Arabidopsis thaliana: one gene and its partners. The protein of the gene in region 4 interacts with the protein of the main gene of each other region in a pairwise test. Each region holds a gene or a part of one and is shown on either strand. Other genes may lie near its edges.

The links.
Region 1: the proteins of AGL99 (region 4) and PHE1 interact in a two-hybrid assay, tested with the Arabidopsis thaliana proteins (one large-scale study listed by BioGRID).
Region 2: the proteins of AGL99 (region 4) and AGL103 interact in a two-hybrid assay, tested with the Arabidopsis thaliana proteins (one large-scale study listed by BioGRID).
Region 3: the proteins of AGL99 (region 4) and AGL82 interact in a two-hybrid assay, tested with the Arabidopsis thaliana proteins (one large-scale study listed by BioGRID).

Annotation. Positions count from the first base shown.
Region 1 is NC_003070.9:24,264,516-24,271,034, forward strand, and holds PHE1 (MADS-box transcription factor family protein), read right to left. Parts: upstream 2,822-6,519; 5' UTR 2,806-2,821; coding exon 1,966-2,805; 3' UTR 1,742-1,965; downstream 1-1,741. Other genes in the region: CYP96A3 (cytochrome P450, family 96, subfamily A, polypeptide 3), read right to left, coding at 3,620-5,131. UniProt on the Arabidopsis thaliana protein: Probable transcription factor involved in the development of gametophytes and seeds.
Region 2 is NC_003074.8:6,415,999-6,422,361, forward strand, and holds AGL103 (AGAMOUS-like 103), read right to left. Parts: upstream 2,507-6,363; coding exon 1,346-2,506; downstream 1-1,345. Other genes in the region: PGSIP1 (plant glycogenin-like starch initiation protein 1), read right to left, coding at 3,213-3,485, 3,942-4,714, 4,820-5,439, 5,560-5,796, 5,885-5,961. UniProt on the Arabidopsis thaliana protein: Probable transcription factor that may function in the maintenance of the proper function of the central cell in pollen tube attraction.
Region 3 is NC_003076.8:23,777,563-23,783,947, reverse strand, and holds AGL82 (AGAMOUS-like 82), read right to left. Parts: upstream 3,117-6,385; coding exon 2,232-3,116; downstream 1-2,231. Other genes in the region: AT5G58900 (Homeodomain-like transcriptional regulator), read left to right, coding at 253-673; AT5G58880 (LRR protein), read right to left, coding at 4,347-4,354, 4,449-4,803, 4,992-6,385. UniProt on the Arabidopsis thaliana protein: Probable transcription factor that may function in the maintenance of the proper function of the central cell in pollen tube attraction.
Region 4 is NC_003076.8:1,330,874-1,335,682, reverse strand, and holds AGL99 (AGAMOUS-like 99), read right to left. Parts: upstream 2,925-4,809; 5' UTR 2,859-2,924; coding exon 1,890-2,858; 3' UTR 1,761-1,889; downstream 1-1,760. Other genes in the region: CYP77A9 (cytochrome P450, family 77, subfamily A, polypeptide 9), read right to left, coding at 3,576-4,809.

The DNA of each region.
Region 1 (6,519 bases), on a different chromosome or scaffold from region 4:
TGCTTTAATATTTGTTTTTACTTTTCAAACGGTTACTTAACCGCTAATAACAATAATTTTCATCTATATATACACTTATTTTTCATTAATTCCTCTCACTCAAATATCTCATTTTTTCCAAAAAATATTCTCTCTCAAAAACTGACTCATCGGTTTTTAGTTTTTATAAGAGATTTTATATTTGTTTTAATTTACGGTTTACTCTTTGGAGAGTATTTTTCCTAAAACGTTTTGATGGTTATTATTATACTTTTTAAAATGTAATTGTATTGCTTATACAAGTACCTTCCATGCTATAAAATAAAATATCAAATTTCTAATAACGTTCTCCATGATTTTATATTAGAAATGAAATGACTAATATCGAGAAGCTTCGATTTACAGTCTTATACATTACTCAGACTTACTACATATCTTAGACCATCAATGTTAAGTTACGTTTGGAGTCTCTTGAGATAACGGAGACCTTAAAAGAGTATGATACTTCGATGGCCCAAGAAAAAGTAAAATCGAATCTTCCTTAAAAGACAATTCGATAAAAGTGTATTATATGACTATGCACACATGCGAGATCTTAAAGAACTTTGGAAATCCTTAAAAGATCCTTTTGATCACCAACGAGATATCACCCTCCCACTTGCTTGGGATGAATGGCAAAGTCTAACGTTCCAAAACTTTGACAAAGTAATAAATTACAATTCTATCATGTTGGGATAAAAAAGCATTCCATGAAATTAATGCATTCGATGTTAAAAACTCAGTGATGAAAAACAAAGTTTTTCGAAAACGATAGATATTATTTATCAAGAATCTTTTTCCGTTGGATAAAATAGATAATACAAGCACACAAATTTATCAAAATTTGCGATCACGCAAATTCTTGTTGGACTAGAATTTAGGTGTCATAAATAAACTTAACTATATTTGCGAGTCTTTTGATCCAAAAATCTTGTACAACGTGTCTCAATTCTGAAACAACAAAGCAGGGGAAGTGTGGAAACAATGTGAAAGAAGAGATTTTTAAGATTCCTTAATTTCTTTTATGGCCGTATCTTGCTAGGTTTTCTACTATTCTATGTTTTTTTCCACAAGCGTGCCAATATGTTGAAAGAAGCGTGTATTCCTAAAAAGGAATGAGGGCTTCATTTCCAACGTATTCATGTGTCACGGTTGTTTAGCTTAAGCTTAATTTGGAAACTACTAACTTCGTGGGGGTTTATTATGGGCGGTTCCGACAATATATTATCTGTTAGGATGGTAAGGATTCTACTCTAGGTTCCAAAACGTGGCAGAAGCTACTGAAGTTAAAACCAATTACGGCTGAGTATGTACATCAGGAGATCCACAATGGTCAGCACTATATATGTACTTTTGTCTTCGATTTTTTTATTCCCATGGGACGTCTTCTCGACTCATAGATGAGGTATGCATTAGAAAATTATGTGTGCCAAAGTATGCAAAGGTCTCACAAGTGGTCACCTAAACTACGTAGTTGAGAATTTGCTAGAAACATCTTGAAATAGCATGGTACACAAAATTGAAATCCTTTCTTTTTTGTGATCAACATTTGAATCCAACAAAAATATGGCAATAACATTCATAATCATTTTAGTTCAAATATAAGTAAGACGAAAACATGACATAGCCATAGCATATATATAGGCAAAACAAAGAAAGTTGACTTAATCAAAGCTATTTTAGATATTATAGGGTTTTTAATGACATCATATCTAAAGATTTGTTTCTTCTAAAGATACTGAAAACTCTTTATTTTGTAATGATTAAAATTATTCAAATTGAACTAAACCTTTTCAGGCAAATACATCAACGGAAATGAACTTAAAGGCAAAACCTTTAACTGTAGTACAATAATAAAAAAAAACATCACATAAATTTTATTTTCTGAAATGGAAAAATCAAAAGATGCAGATGATCAACCACTTCACTCGAAATACATCCCTTCGACTAGAGATCATTGATGATGTTAGGAGCACAAACATCAGTGGGGGCAGTGGTGACGGTAGCGAGACAATCGATTTCGGGGTGGTAGTTGTTGTTGTCCATGCAAGGAATGCCCTCGTCCTCTCCATCATTAAGATCCAAATTCATACTCTGATTTGGATCTATATTCATTTTCATGTTAAAATCATGAAGTTTCTTTGGAATCTGATCATAAAAATCATAAAGAGCCTGGTATTGGAATTGAACCGGCTCTTGCTGATTTTGGTTTTGATCTTGAATCATACGACCATCAAAACCGATTGGGACAGATGCATCCACAACAGTAGGAGCTACACCAATAGGAGGAGGTACAGATGAAGAAGACTCACCGTTCTCCTTAAGGATCTCAACCCTACGAATAACACCATTGAGATACTTGTTAAGAAATACATTCAAATCAAGAAGATCTCTTCCATGAAGATGAGACACGTCCACCTCTCCTTTGAGACAACCAAACATTAAATCTCGAATCTGAGAATTACGGTTCTCATCACGTAGCTTCTGGAGACGTTCTGTTTCTTTGGCGATCCTTTGACGTAAAAACGTCTCTTGATCCACCATCTTCTTGGTCCGGTCCAACACCGAAAACTCCATAAACTTCGACATCACTTCTTCAACGCCTTCCCTTGATGGCCAAGGCTCCTGGATCGAGTTGTACGGGCTACGGATGACCGCACATGCGTCAACACCACATAGAGTTACTAGCTCGTTGAATTTCTTCAGCATCCCTTTCTTCCTTTTGGTGAATGTTGTTTTCCTCACTGAATCATTTTCTATGAACGATAACTTCATCTTCCCCCTCATATCTCTTATCTTTTTCTTTTGTGTATTTTGCTTTGTCTTGTTAGCATGAGGAGGATGGTTTATATAGTCAATTTTCGAGTCAATAGATTTTTTATTGCTTTGCTGGATATGATTAATTGATTTTTTATTTTACTAATTTTTCAGGATTTGTATTAGTTTCACCCTTACGTGTAGGCATGTGATTGATGGTAAAGTGATAATCATTTATCTTTAGAGACAGCCCATATAGATATTTTACCTTTTGGGGGGCATATATAAAAACAAGATATATAGGAAAACAGTTGTATCACATATCTAATGAGATTTATACTTTATTTAGGAAGTCCATTGAAAGGAAAACAAATTACATCAAAGGTAATTTAAGATATTTCTTCAATCTCTAAATTTTTTCTATATGTTAATAGTTTATATAAACATAATTAATAAATAATTTAAAATACATGTAATATCAGTTGGATAGAAAGTAATGTTATGGCTAAACAGTGAAAGTAATGTTATTTTATTTTTTTTGTTTCGTTAAGACACATGCTATTATGTGTGTTATCGATTTTGGGTGTTATAACTGTGGGGAAGGGTCCAATAATACAAACCATAGCTGCCAAAAAAAATATTAGTAACTAAACATCAGATTCTAAAGACCACAAAATGTGAGCACATGCTATTGTAAAACCGTGATGTTATTATGAAATAGAGACTCTTATAAGGCAAATGACTGATACAAATTAAAGACGTGTTTGCAAAATAAGTCTAAGCATGAGTAAACATGCATGTTTTATTGAAATCTTTAACAGCAAAAAAAATACAAAAACTATCACTAGATCCTAGTGATATTAACTTTGAGACCATGTTGCATACGAAAAAGAACAGAAGGAACTGGTTCGGTTTTGTGCCCTTCAACGACCTTGATGTCATAGTTTCGTATGATTTCCGCAGCCACTGTCTTCATCTGTAAGAACGTTAACTTTTTCCCCAAGCAAGCTCTTGGACCGGCGTTAAACGCCAAGAACTTATATGAAGGTTCATGTTTTAACCTTCCACTGTCTGAAATCCATCTCTCTGGTCTGAAATCTTCTGCGTCATCTCCCCAAACAGATTTCATCCTCCCTAATGCATACATAGATATGACAATCTTCCATTTCTCATCTACTCTATGCCCACTTGGAAGTACGTCTGGCTTTGCCGGTGACTTGTGGTTAAATGGAACTGGTGGGTATAACCTTAGCGTCTCACACACGGCACCGTGTAGATACACGAGCTTTTCTAAATCTGCGGGATCAAACCTCGGCATCTTCTTGTTAACCTCTTGTCGGATCTTGTTTATTGCCTCAGGGTTCTTGGACATAAGCCAGAAGAACCAAGTGAGTGCTGAACTTGTTGTATCTCTTGCCGCTATCAAGAAACCCAAAATAGTGTCTTTGATGAATCTATCATCACTTGGTTCCAAGTACTTATATTTGGTCGTGTCCATAGTCATGTAGTATGTCAACACGTCTATGGCCTCTCCTCTTGAGGGATGATGAGTCCCATGACTATTGATCTCCTCTCGTTTAGCCGTTATGATCTTCTCGAGTAGTTGATCGAATACCGCTAGACCTCTTTTCAATCTTTTCTCTACTCCTACACCAATCAAATATTGGAGCCTCCACAAGAAAACCGGCTTAACATGTCTATAGAAAACCCCGTCAGAAACACCATCGACCGCGTCACCGAACTCAACCTTAGGCATTTCAACGGATAAACATTTTGGATCATACCCGGTCATCAAAATCAAAGATGTATCAAACAAGAATCTCTGGAACAAATCTTGCAAGTCGACAAGGATATTTTTATCAGCTGCGTTTTCAAGAATAGGAACAAGCCCTTGCCTTAATTTTCTTACACTTGTACTCACCCAGAACATTTGGAAATCTTGATTACTAAAAATGGCATGAGACGAGTTCCTCATATCCTCCCACAAACCCGAGTCAACGTTGAAAATTGAATCACCCACGACTTCGAAGATCTTCTTGAACTCCATTCCTTTGGGGTAGTTAGCAAAATTTGAGCTTAGAATGTAGTGGATATTCACCGGATCAACAGTAAGCAAGATGTCCATTCCGCTAAGACATGGACCTTTGAAACAAAACGTCATATCTGTCGCCTCAAGAACCTCGGTGATCCAGTCGTAGATACGAGGCACTTGGAGGAGTAGACCCGGAAGCATCCCAAGGGCCGGCCAGTTCGTGAGCAAAGGCTTGGGAGTTTTCTTGTGGAGTAATAAACATTGGAAGAAAATGAAGAAAACAAATGCTGTGAAGATTTCAAGTAAACCTATGACTATCGCCATTATAGTAACAAAATGTTTATTCAAGAAATCTTTTTTTTCTTTTGGTCAAGAAATGTTTTGTCTTGTTAGTGAGTATATGAACTCCCTTACGATATCATATACGAAATGAAATGAATAAACACATGCATTCTATTTCGATCCGTTGCATTGGGATGTGTAACGACATTAAATCATATTATCCGTTAAAACTTTTTTTTCCAATTTTATGTATAGTGTATGCGCAGAGGCGGAACCATATTTTGTAATAAATGCCTCGAGTAAATTTTGTAAGATTTCTGCAAATTATGAAAGTTTACATTGATGTCCCCACCCATAAGTCTTTTTCTAATCAGAATATTTTAGGTGGTGTTATGGGTTAGTTTGGGTTTATATTTCATAAGTCTTTTTCTAAAGTTTATATCTTAGGTTTAAAGTTTTATCGGATTTTAAAAAACATTTGGGTTCATTGAAAGTGAATCATTAATCATTTTGTTAAATACGTAGAAGTGTATATTCAACGATACGTGATGTCATTTGGTTTTCTATTATTGAATGAAATTTTATAACAAATGATATGGTAATCTAAACAAAATCCAACAAAACTTTTGACCATTTTTTATTTTTTTATTTCAAGCTTTTCTACTATTTTAAAGTCTTTTTAAGAAAATATAAGCTAAAATTTTGTTCATAAATCTTTCGATAATTCCAAATCAAAACTTTTTAAAAAAAATAAAAGAAAAATACATGAAAAAACCTTTAAAAAATCATTAAAAAAACATAAATCTACATTTATTTCATTCTACCTAGCCTCTCTTCTACCGACATGCTCGTATTCCCAAATGGTAAATCTTAATAAGTGAAGTATGTGAATGGAATCCAAGTGTGGTTTGGATCAAGAAGAACATATTAGAGTTCTTTGAAATTTTCGAAACAAGTTTACATGTATATGTATAAATGTTTATTTTTCTTTTGAATATAATTTAATATTAGATTCAAAAAAAAAAAAAAAAAAAAATCTTTATGTGTGTCTTGTAACGAATACGTTCATCTAAATCAGAAATTTCTTTACATCATTCCAAACATTATGCTTTTTGTGCCACTTCTTTTTATCGTCTATCTTCTCTTTGTTGTATTATATTCAAAGTTTAACCGATAACAACCATCATAAGATTTTCTTTCTTTTGGGAAGTACTTTTTCAGATCTTGTATATATTACATTTAAATGAATATATTATTGTTTTAAACTCTTGTAATTGTATGTGCGGCTCTTAATTTAGATAAAGCCTTAAAAATTAAAATTCTGGTAAATAACAAAAGTAATAGAAAATCTTAATTAAAGTCGGCTACGGATATATAGAAATTAGAAAAGGATAAACTTTAAACATACATCTGTTAATAATCCAAGGAAA
Region 2 (6,363 bases), on a different chromosome or scaffold from region 4:
GATTTTAATCTATCAAGTTTCTTTGTTATATATTTTATATATTCTCTGCTCAACGAGCAATATTGCTCATTCTATAGATCTTCCAACAGTAGTGTGAAACCATTCATAGCAAATCTTGTTATCCATTAAACTCAGAATCCAAGAGCAATTGAAAAGATTGATCTTTGAGATCATAAGTGAAGAAGACCAATCATGGAAGTAGAGATAAACAATGAGAAGAATTAACCCGAAACTAAAACTGGTACCAATTCTTCCTGGAAATAAAACCACACAATGTCTCACATAAACCCAAATAGAACCTAAATTGAGTAAAAGGGAAAAAAAAAGTCAAACTAAATTGAACCTAATTAGAGTTTAATAGATAAAATTATATAACCCTAAAATTGAGAAGTAGACAAGAAGATAGACAGAACTCACTTGAATTCGAATAGAGCTCTTCATCACTAAACCCTAAGACCAAGCTTCTTCTTCTTCTAGGGTTTCGAAAGAAAGTAGAACGACAACGAGTTTGTTTAGCTCTGGTTCTTCAAATTTTCCAAGTTCTAGGTTCTATGGTTTTTTTTTCGGAGAAGTAAATTAAAAGACTCGCACACAAAAAAAAAAAAAAATACAATTCTTTCGCTTAGGTTTTGCTTCTGTGTGGTTAATAGGTCCCACTTGAAGGTAAGTACTCTTCAGTTTAAATCCAACCGTTGACTAAAATCCTTTTAATCTCACCCGTTGATTATTTCTTAAATAAGCCGAACACAACACTTTATTGTCCAGTTGGATCTTTTGTACTTTTTTCTATTTTTCATTTCTTTGACCTTTTTCCCTTTTTAATGCGAGGACATATGATTGGAGAGAGCTGCTAAAGTATTTTTTTAGCTTAAGTAATTTCTGATTGTGTTTTACTTTACCCGTCTTAAAACTTAAAAGCTTGCCTAGGGTTTTTTTATTCATCAAACATTAATCGTATAATCAAATTCTCGGCAATAAGTATAACAAACCAAAAAAAATCTCAGAATAACAAAAGAGGAAGTATAGGAAAAGTGTCACTAACATGGGAGACATTACTAGTCTTAATTCTCAGCAATAAATATAACAAACAAAAGAATCTCAGGATAACAAAAAAAAGAAGTAGTATAAGAAAAGAGTCACTAGCATGGGAGACATTATTAGTCTTTTAGTCACATTACACTAATAAATAAAAGTAGACATAATCGAAAACTTGGAGATCGATATACTGTCTCAAACTGATAATTGCACTAACCAAAAGTTATAAATATATATGCTTCTTAGTTATATAACTAGGAGATATTAAAAACCAAAAATTATGAAGCTATAAGAGAGATTGTGATAGATCTTAGAGAGACCTAGTATTGTTTCCGTTTTGATCCAAATTGAAAACCCGGTCCTGATGTTGGCTGTTGTACGTTGGAAATTGAACATACTGATGCGAAAGACCATTAGAGTTAATGCTGTTGTTGTTACTGTAGTCATGCATGTTCATGCTCTGCAACCCGTTAGTTCCAGCTCCTTGCATCCCAAGTAACCCTGCACAGTCTTGAACATTGAAGTTGTTGCGGCTGGACATGTTAGGGTTCTCAAACTCATTGTTTCCGTCTTCGTGTACCCCAAGTAAGCTAGAGTAACTTTCCGCTCTGGAATTCTGGTCAAACTGTTTTGAGAAATCATTAACGCTGTTGATGTTGTTATAGGTTAACATGTTCATGTTCTGAAGCCCATTGATCCCAGTTCCTTGTACCCCGAGAGACCCCGAGTAATTTCCCGCATCCGAATTCGGGTAAATCATCAGTTCAGGCGGAATCGGAGCTAGAGATTGCGTTTGGTTTGAAGCCAATGCTGAGACTGGGATTTGTGAGAAAGCACCGTTTCCATGGTTCCACAGATACATGGAAACCTGGTTTGAGTGTTGTTGAAGTTGATTCATCGTATTAGCCATCATCAGTTCTTGATTAGCCATGTTCGTGTACTGTACCCTCCTCTGCCCCTGAGCTTCAACAACAGCGCAAGTCCTATGTTGGATCCTGGTTAGGTTTCGTTCCAAGGACTGAACCAGTCCCATGAGTTGCTCCACAGAGTAATTGTCAAACCTAGGGTCCCAAACTGGATACTTGACTTTGGGTACACGTCTCACTTTAATCTTCTTCTTCTCCTCCTTCTCGGGATCATCCTTGTTCATCTTCTCGAGGAACTCGTGAAGATCAACGCTTCCTTTGCGACGCTTCGTCTCGCTTAATTCACCGTACCTTCGAGCTATGGCTTTGACCTTCTCTCTCTCTTCAGGCCATGTCTTAAGCTCTCCGTTTGATCCGTAACAGATGACGCAGACATCGATGTCACAGAGAATTGAAAGCTCTTTAGCTTTCTTAAAGACAGTCTGTTGTCTTTTGATCAAACTTGTGGCCCTCGAAGAAGAAAAAGCAGAATTAGGTTTCTTGAAAAAGGTTTTGTTCTTCTTCGATGTTGAAAACGAAAGAGAAGAGGACGAAGAAGAAGCCATGGTTGTGTATATTCTCTGTGAATTGAATGAAGAGGTGGTGATCATTGTTTGCGAATATATAAAACCCTTAGTTCGAGAATTTCTATTTTTGGTCTCGCTCGGTAATTAATGACGAATCAATAATGAAAGCGGTGAAGATTTCATTGCCTTTTTTAATATACTTTTTTCTCATAGAATCAATTTATATGTTTAACGAAGGTGTAGTTTTACTAATAAGGAAAACTTTGGTTTTTGGTTGAATATTATGGAAATCTTTAGTAGAGATTCTTTTCACATGTACATACATACACAAATACATACACTGATATACACACACATAGATTTATATACTATACGTAATGTATACATACTACACTGCGATTCGACTAAAAATTTGGATTTTTCGAAAGTTTAATTATACTACATATGTTTAGTTACATCAATTAATTTGTGTTGTTTGGCTATATGTAAGTCTATAATCTATCGTTTCTGTATAAACTATTTGAATGTTACTAACATTTTTGAGTTTGTGTTTGTATACAAAAATGGCATATAAATACGACATATGTTTTATTTTGTGGTTAAACTGCAAAAAAATGTTTTATTCAATTTGAACAAACTATAGGAAAAAGATATAGTTACACAACTGATATTCACCTAATCTCGCAGCAACAATTCAAACCAAAAAACTCATGAAATCCATTAATAAGTATGTATAATTATTGCGTCACAAGTTATGGCCGGGAAGTGATGATCTCCGGTCTACGGTAATGGCTGGTGGGGTGGGAACAAAAGACTCGTAGTCAGTCCAATTTGATTCGCCCCAATGCCGCAGCATACTTTTCCAATTACATAATTTGTCGATGCAAATTTTGAATCTCGGGTCCTTTACTCTTATTTTCCAATGACCGTCGGCATAATTTGCGGCCTCTGCTTGCCGGCGATCATATTCCAGCTGTGCCTTTTGCTTGGATCGCAAGTAACAGAATTGGTGAAGTTCCTGCAAAATATCATATATGGTAATTACTAACCGTCACAATTTTAGAATAATTTGGGAAAACGTCTAACTATTTTTATATTTCTGCCAACCAATGTTTTTTTAAACTAATCATAAAGAAAGAAAATTTGAAATGATTTTTTTATAAGGTGTATAAAACATAGACATTAAAACTTGATGCCTACTGCGTAGGGGGCTAATTCTGCATTTACTAACCCACCAAGATTTTCGTATATTCAAATTTCATATGGTTATTCTAAACTTGGGTAGTAAGTAATTTTTAGTTTATTTATTTTTTCAAGTTTTGGAAATTTTTGAGAAAGAAATAATGCTATGCAGTTAGTCTCTCAACGCATGACTAAACGCCTAATAATATTTTGAATATTGATCACAATATGAGATTGAAAATATTATGTGATTTTTGAGTTCTATTAAGGTTTTTAGGAGAGAGTGAATCACCTGTGGCATGGCGTCGTGGACCATCCACCATTTTCGATGAGCGATATCGGTAGCAAACTCAACGAATATGTCGGAGTTGAAGTTACAGTCGTAGTCACGGTAACATAACCACGGCTTCATCCCAAGGTAATGAAGAACATAAAGAACAGGAGGCTCTGCTCCAAAAAGCTCTGTTTTCTTGCGTTTCGCGTCATCTTCATCGCCAATCCAAAAATGCTTCAAGAAATTCATATGTTTTGGAATCCGGTGCCACCATGTGAATACCTCGTTTAAGTAACCTTGATCTCCACCGTTATAAGACTCAATCTCGTTTATATGTTCCATCAGAAGCTGAAACGTACAGTTGCAAGGCTCGATCACCATAACTCCTGAATTAAACAGAGTTCCATTGTTTCCTGTAGCTGAGATCTCAGGCATCGAGAACAAGAAATCGATGTTTCTCAAGATTAAGAGATCCGCGTCGATGAAAATGATTTTGTCGTAATCAGTCAGCTGCCATAGCCGGAACTTGCTGTAGTTCCATTCGTTGTAAGCATCTTTCTCTGCCTTAGGGTTTCGAATCCTCTGTATCGTCCGGATTTGCCAACCCGCGGCTTCTAGTCCACTCCGGTGGTAACCGCTGATGTTGTCATCAACAAGGATAACAAGGTCTCTCGTCGAACCAGACTGTCTTATGCTCTGAGCCGCGGCGATTGCACCGCAGACGTAAACGTGAGCTGAGTGAAGAATTGTTGCGTAAGCTTCTCTTTTAGGGTTTCCTAAGCTTGGCCTATCTGTAAAATTCATGGAAGAAAACAGACACTAGTTAACTTAGCGACGATTTTTCAAATTTGTTTTCAAATCTAAACAAGTAATTTCGGGAGTCATTTTTATTCTACCTTGGATGCCAAGAGGAAGAGATAGCTCACAAGACCCTACAGGCAGCTGAAGCTTGTCTCTCAAGGTATCAAGATTAGGTTTGTACAACCAAACATCGCCTCTCCGAGACACAAGATCTTTACACCGGAAAAGATTCGGAATCGGAAAGCATCTAGATACAAAAAACACATGTCCCCTGAAAAACCCTTTGGCCGAAGCCGCCACAGTTGCAGCCGCTAGCTGTAGATGCAATCTCCCGACGTCTCTCGACCAATTCCCTTCTTTCCGACAAGGAAGTTTCACGACGATCAGATCGAGTCTTCTTGTAGGTACCTTAATGTTCGGGATATTAGGACAAACAGGGACCTCTGTTTCTTGCTCCTCATCGATCCACTCTGGATATAGTGCGTCCCAAGTCACATTCTTGTCTGCGTAATCTAGATTCAATACAACAACTTTTTCTTCATCCCCATTGTCCTTGCTCTTGGATACTTCTCTCCATCGTTGGATCTCGTTCGAATCAAAATTCAAGACACCGATCGTACGGCCTTCTTCGATGTTCTCAAGGGTTTTAGTCACATCGTCCCAGTTTATATCCAGATCCGAGAAGTAACGTGGATCTTGTCTTCTCCATATCCATCTAATTTCATAATTTTAAGATAGTATTATAAGAGATAGAGGCAAAAGTAAAAATTTGCATGTGAACATTTTTGAGGTCAAGAATGTAAATGTTGGTGATGGAAAAAAGAAATAGATTTACCGAGAAGATGAGTGGGAAAGAGAATGATGATAAGCTTCAGGAGAATAGATAATGGTGAAGAGAGTGGCAGAGAGAAGGATAAACAAGAGAAGCTTCACGATCTGAAACTTGGTGAAACAACAACAACTACTGTTTTTGTCTTGTGTCGAAAAATTTATGATATTAAACGGTTTCACCATATCCGATCTGCCACCTCCTTTGCTATTTCTCCGGAATCTCCTCTTGCATATTGCTTCTCTGCTTAAACACACACAAAGCCACAATTAGACGATTTTGTTCAGATTTTTTTAATCATTACTTAGAGAGTATTATACTATACACTTACATGGACGCGGAGAGGCGTCGCCGGGAGTCACCACCGGTTGTGGTGGTGGGTGCAGGAGCAGCGGGAGAGTTTGCCATATAAAACTGATGGATTGGGACAGTAGAATTGGACAAGGAAGAGGAGAGAGCAAATATAGGTGAGACATAACGTCTCTTTTAATCTTCTTATATCACATTTCCTTTGTTTCTATTTTTGTTTTTGTTAGGAAATAAGAAAATTGTATTTTTCATACCCACCTTTTTAACAAAGTTAATTTTTGATTTTCTCTTTTTGAAGTTATCGTGATTTTAATAAAATGTTTTAAATTGTGGATAATATTGTAGCTCTTTAGTTTAAACTCCATTCTCAGTTTGTGACTCTCTTATGATTGACATATATATGTCCACCAAACTTTGATCATTTCTTTGTAAAGAGAACCATAATTTATTTTCAAAATAATGAGTTTTTTTTTCAAAATAAAGATACACTTTACCAATAAC
Region 3 (6,385 bases), about 22 Mb from region 4:
AGTATAAATGTATAACACTGTGGTTGTATATAACTTTATGAAAATATCTTAGATTAGATATTTCTCACAATCGGGCTATTTCTAATTTGTTTGAACAAATGCATTGCATAATCGTAGTATGATTTATGCAACACTGTTTAGCTGCAAAATCTTGCCTAATCACATATATAACGCATCAAACCTACAAAGAACAATTTATTTGGGTCAAGATTGTATGTAGATATATTTGATTCCATATTTGTCACAATTCAGGCTATTTCTAATGGGTTTGAAGAAATATGGGAAAGGAGATTGGAGAAACATATCTCGGAACTTTGTGATAACGCGAACGCCAACACAAGTAGCTAGCCACGCCCAAAAGTACTTCATCCGGCAACTTTCCGGCGGCAAGGACAAGAGACGAGCAAGCATTCACGACATAACCACCGTAAATCTCGAAGAGGAGGCTTCTTTGGAGACCAATAAGAGCTCCATTGTTGTTGGAGATCAGCGTTCAAGGCTAACCGCGTTTCCTTGGAACCAAACGGACAACAATGGAACACAGGCAGACGCTTTCAATATAACGATTGGAAACGCTATTAGTGGCGTTCATTCATACGGCCAGGTTATGATTGGAGGGTATAACAATGCAGATTCTTGCTATGACGCCCAAAACACAATGTTTCAACTATAGCTAATGAAGATCCATCTCTCTAATTAAAAAGTGTAAGTTAAATTCTTAATTTTTCATATGGACGAAACAATCATATTTGGCAATTGTATAATAAACGTCCATTGTTTTAATTCCAAATTGAAATAGTTAATAAAAGTCTCTTGACAGTGCCTAAGTTATCTTTGAGTAAAATTGTTAGTTAAGTTTCAAATGGTTGCAAGTTGCAAATTAACAAGTGGTGTGACAAAATGAAAGATAGGTGATGCCAAATTAAAACGATATACAAGTGAAGCCAAATTATATCGTCTTTAACAGCTTACGTTATACGCATATATACAACATAACTCCAACTACTCATCCACTTCACTTCTGGACCACCGATACGAAATGGGCTGTCACAGCTTCACATCTAATACACACAAGTTCATCAGCGGTTTAAGATTCATGAACATGCTTGAAGCGTAAACCGAGACTAAACCTAACAAAACATCATCATATGTGTTGTGTACGATAGACAAACCCGATCGAATTAGCAGATGTAAGAAGTGCTTAAACAAATCCTAAACAGTGCCAAATATGCAAATGGTGGTTGTGAATAACCCCTTTTGAGAAACACAACAATAGTCTAATTCATATCAGCATTATCATATTATATAGTATGATGCATAAAAAAAATATTAAATCCGATATTGTGCAGTGTTAGTTGTTGAGGGAAAAAATTAAAAAAATATGTTTGTAATACAAGTTGCAGGGAAAAAGGTTCAAAGACACAAAGTTGGCCATCTCTAACTTAAATATCCAATATTTGTCGTGTAATGTTTGAATAATGTATAGATCACAATATGGCATTATTCGTTGTTCGTCTCAATCAACCAAACTATTCTTTCAACAACCACTTGAAGTTATAACAACGGACAATGTTTGAGAACAGTGCAACTAATTAAACTTTATAGTCCTTAATTTTTTCTTTTATTTTTTCCTTTTTCTAGACACGCTATAGATAGTCTGTAGGACAGTAGACACTATACGTATTTTGTTTTTTTGGTATAACCAAAGAATTTTGGAATTCAATCAACAAAAAGGTACAAATTATTAATTAGCTTTTAAAACAATGAACAAAAGCTATCAAGTAATTGAATAATCAACAAAGATTAAAAAAGATATTTTCTTTTAAAAAAGCTTTTACAAAAATAAATTACTCAGTTGCAAGATTTATAGTCTAGTGGTTAGGGTTGTCAATGTCTTACCATCCCAATTAAAACTCGACACGGAAAGTAAAATGATTAATTAATTCATCTTAACTAGTTCTTATAGATTTTGTTTTTTGGGACAATTTGGGAGATGATCATATAAAAACCAAGGATAATATAATAAAATAAGTGGTACATTATTTTCTGAGTGTTTAAAGAAAACTTTACGTATAACCGAAACTTGTATAAAATGTAAAAAGATGATGTTATGTCAAAAAAAAAACACTTGACTTTTGCATGTCAAGCCATCATACACAAAAAAAAATTAAAAACCCCAACAGAAACAAAACTATAAAACCCTAAAAACTAATAAAGCTCCGTAATTCAAATCATATCGTTTTCTTCCCTGAAAGCTCCCAATTTTCAACTTGATTTCCCGATAATCTCCAATTAGGAATATTAAACGGGACTTGATATCCCATAAACGGGTTAACATTGAAACCTGCAGACCTCGATACAACCTGTTCACGATTATAGTATGGTTGTTCTTGCCTCTGCATGAATTGAGTACCATCGTTTCCCTTTGACATCATCAAGCTTTGAGTCAAAGCCAAGTCGGTCCACTTCTCCATGAGATTTGGGTCCATTTGAATCTGACCATCATGAGGTGAAATCAACGAGAAACCCATATTATTGAAATTATTAGGGAAGCCTTGAAACTGTGGCTGCTCATGAAAATACTGTGGCATGAATTGTTGGTCCATTAAATTCTGCGGGAATGGTGTGTCCATGGCTTGATGATTAACCCTAAACATACTACGCTCCTGTCTCGTTACAGCTTCATTTAACTTGCTATCCACGGCACAGAAAATCCCATGTAGTTGCTCTCGTGAACACTTGTCTAGCTTCTCCTCCCAACTAGAATACTTATTCTCACGCTTCACTCTCTTTTTAGTCACCACCTCGTTTCCTTTCCCTACATCGTTGACGAAAGTCTCCACGTTGGTTTCTTTCCTGCAGCTGGTCGACACTGTGTCTTTGTACTTGCGTATGATGGCCCTGACTTTGGTCTCGTCCTTCGGCCATATCTCTGGCTCGGAAATCACCACATCGGTAGCCTTCGTGGGACCGTAGACGATGAGACATGTCTCGACGCCGCAGAGAGTTGAGAACTCTTGTGCCTTCTTGTAAAGACTAGCTTTCCTCTTCTTGTAAGTTGTTATCCTTGTCTTATCGTTCGCTATCCTTTGTAGGTCGACCACTTTCGGAACCATCCTTTGTAACCTGAGTTATTGTTATATATTACAAAAAAAAACATATAAACATATAAACCTTTTTCCCAAAAACAAAAGTACAAATAAATTGAATTGATATGTTTTGTAAAATACTTTGTTTATAGGCGTTTTGTGAATAGTTGGTCTATAAACACTCAAATTATGATCAAAACAACCCAAATTAAAGGCGTTTTTTCTATGCTGCCTCAATCCCCACACAAACCATAGGATAGAGCGAAAGAATTTTAAAATTACACTCACGAATAAATGAGAAAACGCAAAGCCAATAGTCAAAATCCGAGAAGTAGGAGCTAGCTAATTCTCGACACCCTCAAAACGAAATCAATCCCACAACAGAACAAATGAAACATGAAATACCTTAGAGCCAGAGCAGAATTAATGAACAAATGTAGAAATTGTTTATGGAAAAGATAGTATCCTTACTTGAATATCAAAGCAAAAGTTTCAATGAGATTTTATACCAAAACCGATTTTTTGGAGCTTCTGTCGGAATAAGGGTGAATCAAGCTAATATATGCGAGATTTTATATATTGAGCTTGATTAGGTTTGTGTTTATGGAAGGTTGTCAAAGATCACGAGATATGAACATTTAAATGATCATGAAAGTTTAGGAAAGAAGAATTAAATTGGGAATATTTAGTTTGCCAAAAGGGAAAATATACTAACTTGAAGATGCTTACCAAGAAAGACAAAAATGTTAAACACAGTTAAATTTATTTCTTTCCTTATTAGTTAGACGGTTTAATATTTATACACTTATTGTAATCTTGTTATATAATAGTCACCTTTAACGCCGGCAGCTCTTAGGGCCGTTGTTGTACTACTTATCCGTTGTATGCCGAAAAACTTTCTCGATTCGATTCGTTTTTTATGGATATGGGTAGCTTTAGGTTGTAATATGTTTCGCTAATATAATCTTAACATTAAAACAAAGAAGAAAAGAAGAGAAATGAATGCTAGTAGTTCTTCTGTGAGTATATATTCAAAAGATTTATCCATCTCTATACAGTATATTACAAAAGAATGAGTTGCCTTTACAAGTTGTATAATTAAACAAAAAGTCCATTAAATAATGATACAACACAATGTTTCACCTGTTATGGATCAAAAAGAATTCTTAACACATTTTCCTTGTGGCGTACCGTACCTTATGTGCAGCGTTACTTGTTTTCGTCATCATGATTCTGTGTGTTAGTATCATCAATGTGTTAATTTTCTGCAAAATAGTAAGCATTTGGTTATAACATAGGAATATCAAACACTTTTCTGATCATCTATGCTTTCTTCTCCATTTTTGAATTACGACTAACCTAAGACTCTGTTTTCGTGTTTTGTTGTTTGGATCTCCGCATTTTGCATTTCCTCTATTACTTTCTTGGATTCTTCATCGTCTTCTCTACCGACTAAACCAATATTATGGTGCAGTGATTCTAAATTAAGCTCTAGTTCCTTTTCCATAGCTTCTCCAACTTGCTCATCAAGTTTCAGAATCACTTCATCATTCCTCTCACTAGCAGCTAAGTCATTGGCTACTGCCGCGGTAATATCTTTATTGATATCTTGAGAGACGGTGTTTGAGGAAGAGGCAATAACATCGTCTTGCTCTAGTTGCTGGGTGATCTCCAATGTTCTTGGTGATATCCCTTGGGAAGAATCTATACCACACTATTCAATAAAAACAAAAGTGTCAAAAGCAATTACTAAAACTTCAAATCAAGAACCAACAACAGAGGAAGAAGCTAGTAAAATTTATTATCTTAGTAAATGGTTATGGATAATCACATATTCAGTGAATCATTGGTGGAGTCAGATTTGTCTAAAATGTCAAAGATGATTAGAATAGAAGGTGAAACCTGTTGAGTCCATGTTTGTGAATCTTGTGAGTTTTGAGTGTCAGCTAAAACTACTGATTCTTCCTCAACATTGGCTCTATTTTTGTATCCTTGGGGCGTTTCATCATTAAAATCTTTCAATACCTCTGTTTTTTCTTCTTCCTTAGAAATCTCCTGATCAGTTGACTCATCTAGTGGTGAGTTATTACCATCTTGGACTTGCAGAAGTAACACATCACTAGCATTTTCTGCGTTTCCACAGGCCTCAACATTTCCTCTATTTTTGTATTCTTGGGTTGATTCACCACAAAAATCTTTTAATAACTCTGTTTTTTCTACTTCCTTAGAGATCTCCTGATCAACTGACTCATCTAGTGGTGACTTATGACTATCTTGGACTTGCAGAAGTATCACATCACTAGAATTTTCTGCGTTTCCATAGTCTAAATCAACCAACTGTGTATGAGCATTGCTCGAAGATGCTTCCAAGACATTATGAGTCTTCTCTTCCTCTACTAGCATTGCTTTCTCATCAGCACTTTTGACTAATTCCTGACCATTCTCTTCCCTTACCACACTTTCTAGTAATTCTGTAGAAACTTGTCCCGGAGAACTCTTCAAATCACTTTCTGTTTCTTTTGTTGTTTCCTCAGTAGACTTGTCTAAGTTTGATTCTTCTTCTTCTTGTACCTCTCTCTCAAATGATTCTATAAAGGGTGTGTCCAAAGAAGCATCCAAGAAGCTCTTAGTTTCCTCATGTTCTCCTTGAATGCTATCCGACGTTTGATCTGTCTGCTGATGATCAATGATATCAAAATCAATAATCTTAGGAGATCCACAAAGATCATCATTTTCTATTTGTTGCATATCAGCAACTTCTTCATCTATCAAATTCTCCATGGATAAATCAAGACTAGTCAGAGGTCTCTGGTCAGTTAATTCTCCAGTCAAACTATTCATAATCTCCGAGTTGACGCCATCGATCGAATCCAAGATTGTTTCAGGTTCTTCTGTTATAGACGACAATGAGGCACTTGTATGGAACAACATACCTTCAAATCTCCCAGAACTTGTAGGCTTGGACACATCACTGGAACTAGAAGGTGTCTGCTCAAAAATCTCTTCACTTTGGGTTCTTCTATCTAACAATGACATATCATCAACTGTTATAAGGTCTTCATCTACCACACAATCCTGATCTGGTTTGGCCTCAGGTTTAGTACTTGGCTCACTATTCTCCTCTTTTGATCCTATTCCACTTCTTGATTCATATTGATGAGACATCCTCTTACGTGATTCTTCATCGCGGACGATTTCTCTGTCAATATCTGTATCATAAATGTAAGATTCACCACCAGTAGACCAGTCATCAAGCCAATCAACTGTTGTAGGAGGTGAACCAATCTCTGAAACCT
Region 4 (4,809 bases):
TAGAAACACTCTTTACTTTCAAACAAGGTTTAAGTCAGAATTGATTATATGAGTCTAGATTCACCTATAACCATAGGCTGATTGTTACAACTAATAGGCAAATAGTCGATGAAAGCTTTAAACAGGAGTGTCCCAGATCTTTAATGCTGATAATTACTAATTAGATAACAATAAGGATGTATAATGAAAATAGAAAAAAAACAAAAAAAGTAGTTGTTGTATTTGGACCTACAGGCTACATATTTAACATATCACCGTGAAATTTACCTGTTAGAATGATAATTTGGGAGTCTAGGAATTGTGTGATCAGTGCATGTCTTTGTTTTTATTTATTGCGTTCAACTGTTCCTTTAATAAATTAGTAACATGGGAAAGCCAAATGTCGCAGAAAGCCATTTATTTACTCACTTTCCAATTTTGGTAGACCCAAAAACAATGAATAAAATCGTGTCATCTTTCAGCTAATCAGAATTCAACATCTTATTATACTTTGAGAAAAAACAAAAAAGAAACTCGAATAAACGTGTTTGACTTGGTTGGAATTCAATTTACTTGTCAGAAATTTCAACTGTTCTTCATGAGTGGTATTATATATGTCATAAATTAAGGGTTCTTCTGCAATTTTTTTTTCTTTTTCTCATCATCTGGCTTTTATACACTGATAAAGCCATATAGCTACAAAAAAGTGAGGGTCTAAACTACAGGAGACAAAACAAACTCCCTACACTAAACAAACTCAACAACGGACTGCAAATATCAGTTCACAAAAAGAACTTTAGCCCATGAAACGAAACTGCATTAACAAACAGAGATGCAAGTCCTTTCTTCCTCAAAAACTCTTACCAGGCAGCTTGGAGGACCCATTGCCACATACGACTGCAGTCTCAGATCTCCTGTCACACTTTTAGCAATAAGATTTGCTCCCCTGTTTGCACCAAAAGTTTCCAAAACCATCATCTTCCACACCTGGAACTAAACAAAAAACTCTTTAAAGCAAAAGATTGAGCTTTAAAAGAGGGGCCAAGCCTGCGGCCTATTAACTGCTTCTACCAATCCTTTTTCTTGGCAAGCAAAAAAAAACTCTCATGACTTTGTGACTTGACATGCTTTCAATAGACCAAAGCAAAACTCTTAGCTTTGCATCCTCTACACTTCTTATACTAAATATCGCCCGGCGACTGTGAAGTAAAACCACCCAACTCATTTCTTAACACCCAAGCTCCCCCTACATTGCATTTGAACCAATTACAAGGTGTTTTTTCCCAAACTTTCCCCGCCATATAAACACTTCTCTGCATCACGTTTTGAATGGAATCAATTAGCACCGGTTCTTCTGCAATTTGTTATGGAGCCATTCTGCTCTATTTTGGTAAAGCTTTATCTGTTTTCAAGTTATGAAGTAATCACAAAATACTGGCCTAGATGATGACTGGTTTTGGTACTTAATAAGAAAGCAGAGACATTCCTAATCAAAGATTGTCAGACAGATGTTTTCTGTTGTAAGACTCAATATTGGTTTTAATATTATTTGTTGGTTAGATTAGAAAACATCCCACAGTTAAACAAGACACAAGTTGATACAAGAAAAAAAGAGTAGTAAGACTCATTGGTTTTAAACTTTTAATATAAGAAGAAAACATCACACATATAAAACAAGACAAGTTGATAGAAAAGACTACAAAACTTAAAAGAAAAAAGGATGGTTTCTTCATTAGTTAAGGCAAACCAAAACTGAACCGGTTTGAGTTAGATCAACATCCCAGAAATCCAATGAAGCATGGAAAATTGATTGAAGTCAAACCGGAACCTTCCTTGAGTAAAGTATCTCTAACGAAAATAAACCGAAGCAATCCTTGAAACATCTGTTATCTTGGAGGGAGTTTCAAATATCAGCAATGTAAGTCACTGAAATAATCAGAAAAGCAGAGATTATCCTCCGGTAAATCTTTTTGAATCATTAATCCTCCATCTTCAACAGCTTCAGGATTTGAGCACAGATTTTGCTTTGTAGTCACCATCGAGGCATAATCCTCCATCTCACAACTCTTCAAAAGGCTTTCATAGTTTGTCTCAAAATCAAGTAGCTGATCAAGATCTAGCTCTTGATCGAATTCATCCAAGTTTTCAGGTAAAACATTGTTCTTGTCAGAAATCATTAGCATCGTATCCTTGTCGTCCATATCAGACACGTGGATATTGTCCTCATCCATATTTTTGTGAACAACCAATTCTCTATCTTCAACAGTTTCAGAAGCAGAGACGGGGTTTTGATTCGTGGTCACCACAGAGACATCGTCCATGTCCAAGTTCATCGATAGAGCTTCAGCTGTTGACACATAATCAAATATTTCATCAAGATCAAATTCTTCAGTGTTCTTGTTAAACCCATCGAAATTCACAGAACATGATTCAGGATTAAAGGTTTGCTTTTGATGAGTTCCGTGTAAAACACCCTTCTTCTTCACGTCCTCCTCACAATCTCGTTGATTCTGCAAATCCTTCAGATCTTTCAACATCTTCGACATCGAGTCCATTGCGTCTCTCAGTTCCTCCAGGTCCTCTGATTTTGAAAGCCTCTCATCTTCCCACCAATAGTCTAACCCTAGACCTTCCCGAGGACGCTGATTCGTGAGGAAAGCGGCTACAACGTTATCAACAGAGGAATGGCCAAAGGTGTAGAAAGAAACGTTTGATTTGGAAGAGACCGGAGTGGCTATGATCGCAATTTGTGCATCGGAGAGAAGACAAAGATCAGAGGCTTTGCTATATAGACCCCTACTGCGTTTTGAGAAAGCAACAGCTCTTGAATCTTTCTTCTCTATCAGCTCTATAGAAATCTTTCTCTTCACGCCCCCCATTCTGTGTTCACGATTTCACAGACAAAGAAAGAGAAGGAGAAAAAGACAGAGAGATTTTTGTGTTAGCCTGTTGCGAAAGAATATGATATGGCTACTCTCTGTTTCTAATCGTGTATATATAGACTCTGTGTTGTTACTCGTTTCTAATCAATCGACTATATTTCCTTTTTCTGACAATTAGCTAATCAGTGATTAAACGAACTAAGTATAATTATTTTCCTTTTTTGAAAGTAATGACTCTTAAACCGCCTGAGACGAACCAAACTAAGTACAATCGATTTCCTTTTTTGAAAACTTAACTCGAAAAGCACCTGAAACTAACCATGGCTGGTTCAGTTAAACCATCGATTCTATTTCCTTTTCGTGATAATCTACTAATCACTAATTAATCCAATAAGTATATGTTTCCTTTTCCTTTGTCAAAGAAATTTCCTTTTCTGAAAGAGTGATTTAATCGAAAATTTGGTTCAGTAATAAACAGTTATTTGGTTTAGTCAAACCATCTAAATTATTAGTTTATACTAGCTTAATTTGAAGACATGCAATAATGCAAACCAACTAAAACAAACGTAAATCGAATATGCATGGCTCTATTTAGTAATTGAAGAGTAGGAAAACATTTAATTAAACCAAAGCAAATTAGACAAAATGCGAATTTTCTCTCTTGAACCGGGTTTGGTCAAGTTAAAAGAATCAAAGACGTGGAATCAACGAAACTTAAACCCTAGCTTTAACCCTCGCTCTCAACGGATTCTTCATCACCACCGCGAACACCAATTTGCCGGTGAAATCCACTTGGCTCTCCGGCGGGTACGAGCTCCACTCAAACTCTTGAACCATCCTCGACAGCATTAGCTCCACGTGTACGACCGCCATTCCAAGCCCCGGACAAATCCGACGGCCAATTCCGAACGGCATCATTTTAACTCCGGCGACTCCGGTTAAATCGGCGTCTTCTCCACCTGTTATAAACCGGTCCGGATCAAATTTCTCCGGTTTAGACCATATCTTCGGGTCTTCACTTATACCGGGAAGATAAAACTCAACATTAGCCCCGACGGGAATATCGTAACCCGCGAGATTAGTCGGCTCCGTAACGCCGTGAGTTAACGTGAAATACGTCGGTGGATGTCTCCGGAGAAGCTCCTTAACAAAAGCTTGTAAAAAGACCATTTTATTCAAATCTTTCTCCTCAACCGTTCGATCATCTCCCACCGTTGATTTAATCTCATCGTACAGCCGAGATTGAATCTTCGGATTCGATATCAGCTCCGCGATTCCCCACTCTATCGCCGTCCCCGTCGTATCCGTACCGGCGTTGAGAAACTCTGAACACAGCGTCACGAGATCTTCATCTGACGGTGACGTTTCACGACCATCAACTCTGAGATCGAATAAAGTATCAAGATACGCGAAAGACGACGCCGTTTTATCGGAGCCGAGATTTCGAATCGCTAATCGTCGTTTCTCGATGAATCCAACGACGAATTGGACAAGTTTCCGGCGAAGTTCCAGAGAATTTTTCCTCTCCTTGAAGTAAAACGGAGTTAGAATCGGAAGATAGTCGTGAATTCGTGGATCAACGGCGGTTAAAATCTCCGTCATCATCTGATCCATCTTCTCAATCGATTCTTCTTCCATTTTAACTCCGAAACACATATCTAACAAGATACAAAAAGCAGCGAATCTAGCGTTTCTTAGAACCCAGACGAGCCCGTCGTTTTCCTTAGCTTCAGATTTGATCTTCTCCACGAGCTTATCAATGGCGGATTTTCTAATTGAACCAAATTCCTTTAACCGGTTAGAGCAGAGCATGTTTTGAACCATGTTCCGTCTCAGTGATCGCCACACGGGACCGTACATAGCGGAATGAACGGTGATATCGCTAGAACTGAAGATTTTCCGGGTCGGAGTTTCGGCGGGTCGGGTTGCGAATTGGGCTCCACGTTCG